Saccharomyces cerevisiae S288C: one gene and its partner. Each later gene encodes a partner of the first gene's protein in a complex. Each region holds a gene or a part of one and is shown on either strand. Other genes may lie near its edges. A codon is read from its position in the direction of its gene.

Evidence for each region.
Region 2: the proteins of NAT1 (region 1) and NAT5 are in contact, whole or in part, in a cryo-EM structure (PDB 6HD5), measured with the Saccharomyces cerevisiae proteins. Residues at the interface, in NP_010244.1 of Saccharomyces cerevisiae: Pro376 (codon at 2,229), Thr377 (codon at 2,226), Gln378 (codon at 2,223), Pro380 (codon at 2,217), Ile381 (codon at 2,214), Ile384 (codon at 2,205), Asp412 (codon at 2,121), His413 (codon at 2,118), Thr414 (codon at 2,115), Pro415 (codon at 2,112), Thr416 (codon at 2,109), Tyr421 (codon at 2,094), Gln446 (codon at 2,019), Leu447 (codon at 2,016), Asp448 (codon at 2,013), Leu449 (codon at 2,010), Gln450 (codon at 2,007); in NP_014896.3 of Saccharomyces cerevisiae: Asn14 (codon at 1,935), Asn15 (codon at 1,938), Leu16 (codon at 1,941), Gly17 (codon at 1,944), Met18 (codon at 1,947), Lys21 (codon at 1,956), Val25 (codon at 1,968), Tyr66 (codon at 2,091), Ser67 (codon at 2,094), Ile69 (codon at 2,100), Pro70 (codon at 2,103), Leu99 (codon at 2,190), Asn101 (codon at 2,196), Tyr102 (codon at 2,199), Lys105 (codon at 2,208).

Annotation. Positions count from the first base shown.
Region 1 is NC_001136.10:378,085-383,257, forward strand, and holds NAT1 (peptide alpha-N-acetyltransferase complex A subunit NAT1), read right to left. Parts: upstream 3,355-5,173; coding exon 790-3,354; downstream 1-789. Other genes in the region: NAD-dependent histone deacetylase SIR2, read right to left, coding at 1-361; pheromone-regulated protein PRM7, read right to left, coding at 3,901-5,173. UniProt on the Saccharomyces cerevisiae protein: Non-catalytic component of the NatA N-terminal acetyltransferase, which catalyzes acetylation of proteins beginning with Met-Ser, Met-Gly and Met-Ala.
Region 2 is NC_001147.6:802,482-805,586, forward strand, and holds NAT5 (peptide alpha-N-acetyltransferase subunit NAT5), read left to right. Parts: upstream 1-1,895; coding exon 1,896-2,426; downstream 2,427-3,105. Other genes in the region: TUM1 (thiosulfate sulfurtransferase), read right to left, coding at 69-983; TMA16 (Tma16p), read left to right, coding at 1,186-1,722; protein-transporting protein SEC63, read right to left, coding at 2,551-3,105. UniProt on the Saccharomyces cerevisiae protein: N-alpha-acetyltransferase that acetylates the N-terminus of proteins that retain their initiating methionine. Has a broad substrate specificity: able to acetylate the initiator methionine of most peptides.

The DNA of each region.
Region 1 (5,173 bases):
ATGGGTTTTTACTGATTATGATTGGCCCCTTGGGCGTCTCTGGTTTCAAAACGTCATTGGACATTGACACTACTGAAGCTGCTGACACTGCCAAGGGATCCATGTCATTAGTTGGTTTGAGCTCCATCGATGCCACTTCTCCGAGCGCAGCTTTAGTGTGCCCAAGTGGATCTGTTGTGTTGGTTTCCCTCAAGGAATCCGGCTGTGCTACTTTTATCTTCTTATGTGAAGGTTCATCATTATTTATAATGTCATCGGGTTGTTTTCTGATCGCGTCTTTATCTTGTGTGGGGCTTACTGTATTTGAAACCTTATTTTCGCTAGTCTTTGATACGGCGTATTTCATATGTGGGATGGTCATCCAGCTTTAATGTGCCGATGAGGGAAAAATGGTTTGAATGTGTCTACCGAAGCGATGCCTAATTTCTTGAAATACGTGAGAATGGGCTTTACATCTCTTCACTAAATATATTTTTCTTGGGTGGTGAAAAAGACAAGTCTTTCAAACTATGCGACCTAGAAAAAAAATATTTTACCGCAACTGGCGGCCAAAGAGGACAAAGAAAAATTCCTCGTTTTTTCTCTGAGATGGGAAAGCAAGAATTTTGGCAAGAAAAGGTCCTGGCTGTCCTGGACCATGGTTGGAAGGAGTGCTAGATGTAGCTTGGAAAAGAAATGACCTATAACAATGTATCTTTTATGAGCATATGCGCATGCATATAAGCATATACATAAAAAATATATACATAAATTAAGTAAGAGTTAATTGACACATTGAGGAGTTGCAGGCTACAAGTAATACTGTAGAATTTCGTTCTGGGAGTGAGGCTCCAAGGGAGAAAGACTGCTAATAATCATTTCTTTCAAATTAGAGCTTCCGATCGGAACATCATCGCGATAGCGATACAGAAATAGCAGGCCATTTATATCATTCTTACCGAATTTTTCTTGGTAGAAATTCAGCCAATCGAAGCTATTGTTAGATATTTCGTTTAATGGGAAATTTTCAGAATACTCTTTTTCAAGGCTCTTCGTGACTACTTTCTTCAAAATTGGATCAAAGGGGGTGTCGTTTCTTGTGGCATGTAACAAAACAATGGCCATACTACCAAATAAACCGCTCGTGGTGCCAAATCTCTTAGCGAATTTGTTTAGAGAAGCAAAGCACAAAGCTAACTTTCCAATTCTGTAGTTAAATTCAAAGTCCAAAATATAATCCCTTTCGTCTTCTCTGACTTGCATGGAGTAGTTATTATAAAATTCGGTAGCGAAGTCCTCCATTGGAGTGGAGGTTTCAATCAACTTTTCGCCGAATACATCGTTATCTTGATCACTCGGATAAGCAGCAACACTCTTGGCTTCAGTTTCTTTCCGTTTGTTCATAGCGGCTGCTTCCTTCTTAGCTTTTTTCTTTTGGCTGCTACTATTTTGGCCATTATTTTGGATTTCATCTGAATTTTCATCTAAAGAATCGGACTTTCTTTTTAAGCGATCATCATGCATTTGAAAGTAAAGCTTTGATGCTTCCTTCATTGCGCGAACATACATGGGTTTGGTATAAAGTGCCTTTCCCCATTCTAACATCTCCAGATAGGCTCTTGGCGTACCTTTTCTCATACAGTATGAATGGAAATCCAACTGGTCATCTTCGAATTGTTTATAAAACTTTGGAATAGCGTTGAATCTTTTCAGCGCCAAACCTTTATATTTGCGAACAAGCCATTGGTTTTCTTTGATATCATTCGCAATTTGTTCGCTTTTATCACTTTCAACCTCTTTTTTTAGCGATGCTAAATCGTCTAATTTCTTTTTTCTATCCAGGTATAGTCTATAATAGGCTTCTGCCTGTTCTACGATGAACCAAGAAGCTTCCACAAGGTGTAAGTCCTTAATACCATTAACAGAATCATCGTTTTTGGTGAAAAGGGACGCGACTTCCACCGCCTTGTCGATATTGTTAGCCCTTAAAAAGTACTTAACCGTTTTACAGTTGATAAATCTATCCTGCAAATCAAGTTGCCTACCTTCCTCCAAAATTCCAGCCGCTGTGTCCATTAGGCCTAAGTGCTTCAGGATACGTGCCTTGAGGATGTAAAACTCAACTAAAGTTGGGGTGTGGTCAAGGGCAGCATCAATATATTCTTGGGCTTTCGGAAAATCCTTAAGGAAAAGGAAATGTTGAGACAAGTAATAATTGGTCCAAATAAAAGGAATTGGATCCTGCGTAGGATCTAATCCGGACAAATAATCAAGGACAATTTTCTCCAATAGTGGTGAAACCTTGGACTTCCTTCTTTGGTAAAGGGGTTTCACGTTGGAAAAAGTTGCTGGAACACCGCGCTCCAATTGAGGCAAAACATATTCTCTCAATTTTTTGCTGAGCTCTTCTTTGTCTTGAAGGAAAGTTAATGGAATAAATTTGGGTGGTTCGCATCTTGGATAAAATTGTTCAAGTTTTCCATACAAAGCCTTCTTCAATTTATTGTCACCTTGGATTCCCAAGGATACTTCCAGTAATTTGTAGTACTTAAAATTATCTGGATTTCTCTTGATCAGAGTTCTATAAACAATGGACGCGTCTTTCAATTGACCCAATTTCATGTAAATAGTTGCTTTTCTCTCTAATAAACCAAATTTATCAAAGACGCATGGCTCGATATCATTCAAATGTTTCAATACATTTTGTAACTTGTCTTGGTTATCACTGGCAGCTTTATACATAATGTCGTTTTTGTACATTAAACACTCGCTGTGTTCATATTTCTCGGAATCAGATATTTTTCCCTCAGCGAGTTTTTCAAACTGAGATAAAGTGTTAATAGCTTGTTGCCTCTCACCGTTCACATCTTGTGCCACAGCCAATGATGTCCAGTTGGCACGGTAACCAAGGAATGCTTCCCAATATTTTTTCCTGGACACTAAAGCATTTTTGAAATCGCCAATTTGTGATTGCAAAGTTGCTAAGTCTCTATATATTTGCTTGTTAGTGGACCCATTGTTCAAAGCTGCCGTGAACCATTTAATAGATTCTTTGTACTCTTTGGTGTTTCTCATGTAGATACCTAATACATGACAGCAGATTGGTGATGCTGAAGCGCCTTCAATTTTTCTGATGGCATTAGCCACGTAGGAAGCAGCGTCATCTTTCTCACCTACAGAATATAAATCAAGACCCTTTAAAGCCAAGGAATCAACGTGACTACCGTCTTTTTTCAAAATTGCGTCTAGCAGCTTGAGAGATTTTTTGTATTGCTTCCCTTCGTATAGTTTCAATGCCTCGAGGAACTGGTCATTTTCTTTTTTCAAAGCTATTTTAGCTGCTGGCTTGGGCTTAGTACTTCTTTTCCTAGACATACTTCGTTAGGGTCAATCGCCTTCCTCAATGGTATTTGTCTTAAACAAGGAATCTGAACATCACTTTTTAAAAAGGTTTGACTTTTGAGTGTAGAAACTTTTTCATTTTCGCTCTTTCCTCTTTACTCTGTATTATGTTCTGTTTCGACGCGGAGCAGGGTAAAAAGTGCATACGCAACCCAGCGACCTCATTAGCAAGGTCATGCAATTTGGTGGCACATTTCAGGCCTATCATGTCTCCAGTTGTACAATAATGAAAATTTAGCAGTATTCCCCCTTTAAAAGATTAAATAGCGATTATATAATCAACTCAAAGAGTTTCCTTAGCAGTCCTCTCTCAATTTTGAATTGTCGAATGTCATGGCGTTCTCGAAGCACTTTGCATACTTCAAGGAGTGGACAGAAAGAGTCTGATAATAATAATTTTTTATTGAATCCGAAGATATTCTATAATCAAATTTAACTATTATTCTATGTAAAATCTATAATTGGTTTATATGGTATACGAACGAGAATGGCGTAGGGACATGAAAGATGGTAGAATGACTAAATGAAAGCTAGAGGAAGAGCGGCAGCGAGCCACACCAATTTTCCTACTGCTTCAATGTTTGCGCTGCCTTCCATGATTAATGAAATGCTGGCAGATGATGTAATGGCTCCTGTTGATACAGCAGCAATGGAATGCTTTGATGTGATAAATGCGTTAGTAGTGGTGGTCGTGAAGGAATTTGTATAATGAATGGCACTGGATTGACTAGAATAATCTTTAGTTGAGGTACCAGAAACACTTTCTAGAGAGGCAGCTGCAGAAATATTGTCCTCAATACTGTGATTCATTACGGAAGCAGTTGATTGAACGTTACTTATAGTAGACGTTGATGCAGGAGAAGTCATAAATGCAGATTGTTTGGTGATGGTAGTGTCTTTGGGACCCGAGTAATTTGGGTTCCCAACCTCAGACTGAATGTTAATGTTTGAAGTTACTAGTGTTGTATGGCGAGTCGAGTCAGTAACTCTACTGACAATATCGGTGACGCTTGCGTGAGCTGATGCATAAGTTCTATCTAATGTGATTGGATGAGCTGAGGAAGATGAGCCGACTAAACCATTTTCACTGGCTAGAGTCGTTGGGTCTGCTGAAGTTATGCTAGGATATGAAGATTTAGTTGATTGGAATGCGTCAACTACAGAAACAGAACTTTGGGTCTTCGAATCATTGCTGCTAACTGGCATATTAGGCTTGATTATACTTGTTGCGCTTGACCTACTCGAGGAAGCCGAATCAACTGGGGTTAAAGTTACAATCGAAGAACTTGAAGTGGCCGAAATTCCTTGCTGTCTAGAAAGGCTTAGACTTTCCGACGCAATTGGAATGCCCGTGGAAGTTGATCCGGTCGAAGCTGTTGGATATACTGGGCTATTCGAGACAGCGAAAGTGCTTGGGTCTACTTGAGATCTTTGAATGGATGAGACGCTCAAATCAGCTGAACCAGTTGAGGAAACCATATCAGTTAGACTAGATGATACTGTTTGGGTATCTTGGCTGGTTGAAGTGGTTGAAACCCTTAGAATGATTGTGTCAGAGAAAGTAGCTAGATCTGTTGAAGTAGTTGGACCACTTGGTCTGGTTGAATAAACTGAGGTTGAACTGACAATAAAACTGGTTGGTTCAGATGAAGTTGAACTAACTACAGAACTAGCTGGATCAATTGAGGCGCTACTGATGATAGTAGTTGCACCGCTTGAACTAACGATGGAGCTAACTGGATCAATTGAAGTAGTTTGAGCCGCTAAAGTAGCTGAACCGTTTGAATTAGCA
Region 2 (3,105 bases), on another chromosome or scaffold:
AAGTAAGTAGATAGATAATTAATATATGTAGCTAAATAAATCGACTTGTCAAGAATATATTTCTCTTATTAATCTCTGTTTTCAGCAATCCACTCGGGCCCGGATTTCAAGACCCACTCGGTCCAGGATCCATCATATAATCTAACATTGGGAACTCCTGCTAGCTCCAATGCTGTCTTGATAATGACTCCTGAAACGCCAGTTCCACAAGAGCAAATAGTTGGTTTACTTGGGTCCAAAGTGCAATGAAAGTCTTTCAATGCCTTTTCCAAAGTAGCGTGTATCGCCTCCCCAGCTTCTGGGTACGTTTTGGTCTCCGGATCAAGTAAACTTCCATATGGTAATGGTTGGGTACCTGGAATATGCCCCGATGGAATGTCGGAACGAGGCTCTGGTTCTGTACCTTCGAATCTACCGAGCGACCTTGCATCGAAAGCATTGAATTTCTTAGCCAGTTCCCCACTCTTTACCAATTGGAACATTTCCTCATAGTCTACAATCTCCTTGTCTTGGAAACTTTCTGAGGACTCATAATGACTCTTTGGATAGGGTGAAAACGCTGCCACCTTAGAGGAATCTAGAGGGTACTTAAACTCTCTGTACTGGTTGAAATTATTTAGTAAGTACACCTTAGGATGTCCCATCACTCCTAATGTCCAAGCACATCTAGGGGAGCTAAAGTTACCAACACGATCGTAAACCACTAATATATCATCTTTTTGAACTCCTAAATTACTCATAGCGTCGTCAAAAACCTTCTTTGTAGGGAACATATGTGGATAGGGCGATTTTTTGTCACTGATTGCATCAATATCAAAGAAAATGGAGTTTGGTATACGTGGTTTGGTCAAGAAATCCACTTTATTATCAAGCTTCCAACTGGGTAGGTACCATGTTGCATCAACTGGAACGATTCTATGAACCTTCTCACTGGCCACTAACTTAACAAACGCTTTTGGAGAAATAAGATCAAATAATGGCATTGAATGTATGGGCAATTTTCTTCACAACTTTATGCTTTTGTCCTCATTGTTTGAATGCACTTACGCTGTATTATTGTACACAGCTGAACATCCCGAGCGAAAATTTTAAAATGGTTTAATAGACGAGATGAGAGATGAGCTCTTTAAAGGTACTTTCTAAGAAGAAAAGTATCGGAACAGGACTTACCACGACAAACTAATCATGCCGGTTACTAAATCTTTATCTAAGTTGCAAAAGAACTTATCCAAGAAAGGGAAAAATATCACGGTTCATCCGAAGGGTAGAAAGTATGAAAAGCTGGTCAGGGCTACTATGCGTGAAGATAAAATCGCAGCCAAAAAGAAGCTTCATCAAGACAAAAGAGTCCACGAACTAGCTCGGGTAAAATTTATGCAGGATGTAGTTAACTCTGATACATTCAAAGGGCAACCAATATTTGATCACGCCCACACAAGAGAGTTTATTCAAAGTTTTATTGAAAGAGATGATACGGAATTAGACGAACTCAAGAAGAAGAGGAGGTCAAACAGGCCACCAAGCAATAGACAAGTGCTACTGCAACAAAGGAGGGATCAAGAGTTAAAAGAATTTAAGGCGGGGTTTCTCTGTCCAGACTTGAGTGATGCGAAGAATATGGAATTTCTAAGAAACTGGAATGGCACTTTTGGCCTTTTGAATACTCTAAGATTGATCAGAATTAATGATAAAGGTGAACAAGTCGTTGGAGGAAATGAATAAGAAGTGTCGCAGAGGAATCTTTATGGTTTATATGCTCTTTATATAATTTTATGTATATTATAGTAGAAAAAGCAAAGAAAAAAAAGAAAATTGATATTATTAGCGAAGCTTTTTCACAAATTAATCCGTAACAAACAAATTGGCAAAGACAATTGAAGGGAGTAGTGCGAAATATGGGCCGTGATATATGCACATTAGACAATGTTTACGCTAACAATTTGGGCATGCTAACCAAACTAGCTCATGTGACAGTACCAAACTTATATCAAGATGCCTTCTTCAGTGCATTATTCGCTGAGGATAGCTTAGTTGCAAAAAATAAAAAGCCATCTTCGAAGAAGGATGTACATTTCACACAGATGGCTTATTACAGTGAAATACCAGTGGGTGGTTTGGTTGCTAAATTAGTTCCTAAAAAACAAAACGAACTATCTCTCAAGGGCATTCAAATCGAATTTTTGGGCGTGTTGCCTAATTATAGGCACAAATCCATCGGTTCAAAATTACTGAAGTTTGCAGAAGACAAATGCTCAGAATGTCATCAACATAACGTGTTTGTCTATTTACCAGCAGTGGATGATCTTACAAAGCAATGGTTTATAGCTCATGGCTTCGAACAAGTGGGCGAAACTGTCAACAATTTCATAAAAGGTGTAAATGGCGACGAACAAGATGCTATCTTATTGAAAAAACACATTTCTTAACAGATGGCTGAAAAATTTTTTTTTTTTTTTTGGTTTTGCTTTGTATACACATGTATCTATTTTTATAAAGATGAAATATATACGTCTAAGAGCTAAAATGAAAAACTATACTAATCACTTATATCTATTCTGGTGATTCATCATCTTCAGCTTCTGTATCCGTATCGATATCAGTATAATCGCTAGCATCACTTTCATCATCACTTTCGGTTTCGTCGTCATCAGTAGAGTACTCATCATCCTCCTCAGAATACACCTCTACTTGTTCCACTGCAGGAGAATCACGAACTTTCATATTCATGGTAATATCCAAATCTGTAGTGAAATAATCTGTGGATTTAACGATTACTCTAAAAAAGAAATCACCAACAGTTTCAGGTGCAGGCTGACCTAATGGAATTTTTATGGTCCCGATTTCCCAATCATTTATATCGAATTTTTCGTGTTTGGTTAAATCCATTTTTATCCTCTTATCAAAGAAATCTTTGTCATCGTTCAAGTTCTTGTAAGATAGCTTTTCAATGATAATTGGCGTTTGAAGTATTTTACCATCTTTTTGAGAACTTACCAGACAGCACCAACTCCCACGTCTCTTTGTAGGGAAAAATGGTGCAAAGGAATATGGGACGAGTGGCTGTTTACTCATCATAGCAAATGGATCTCTTTGAGATTCAAAATC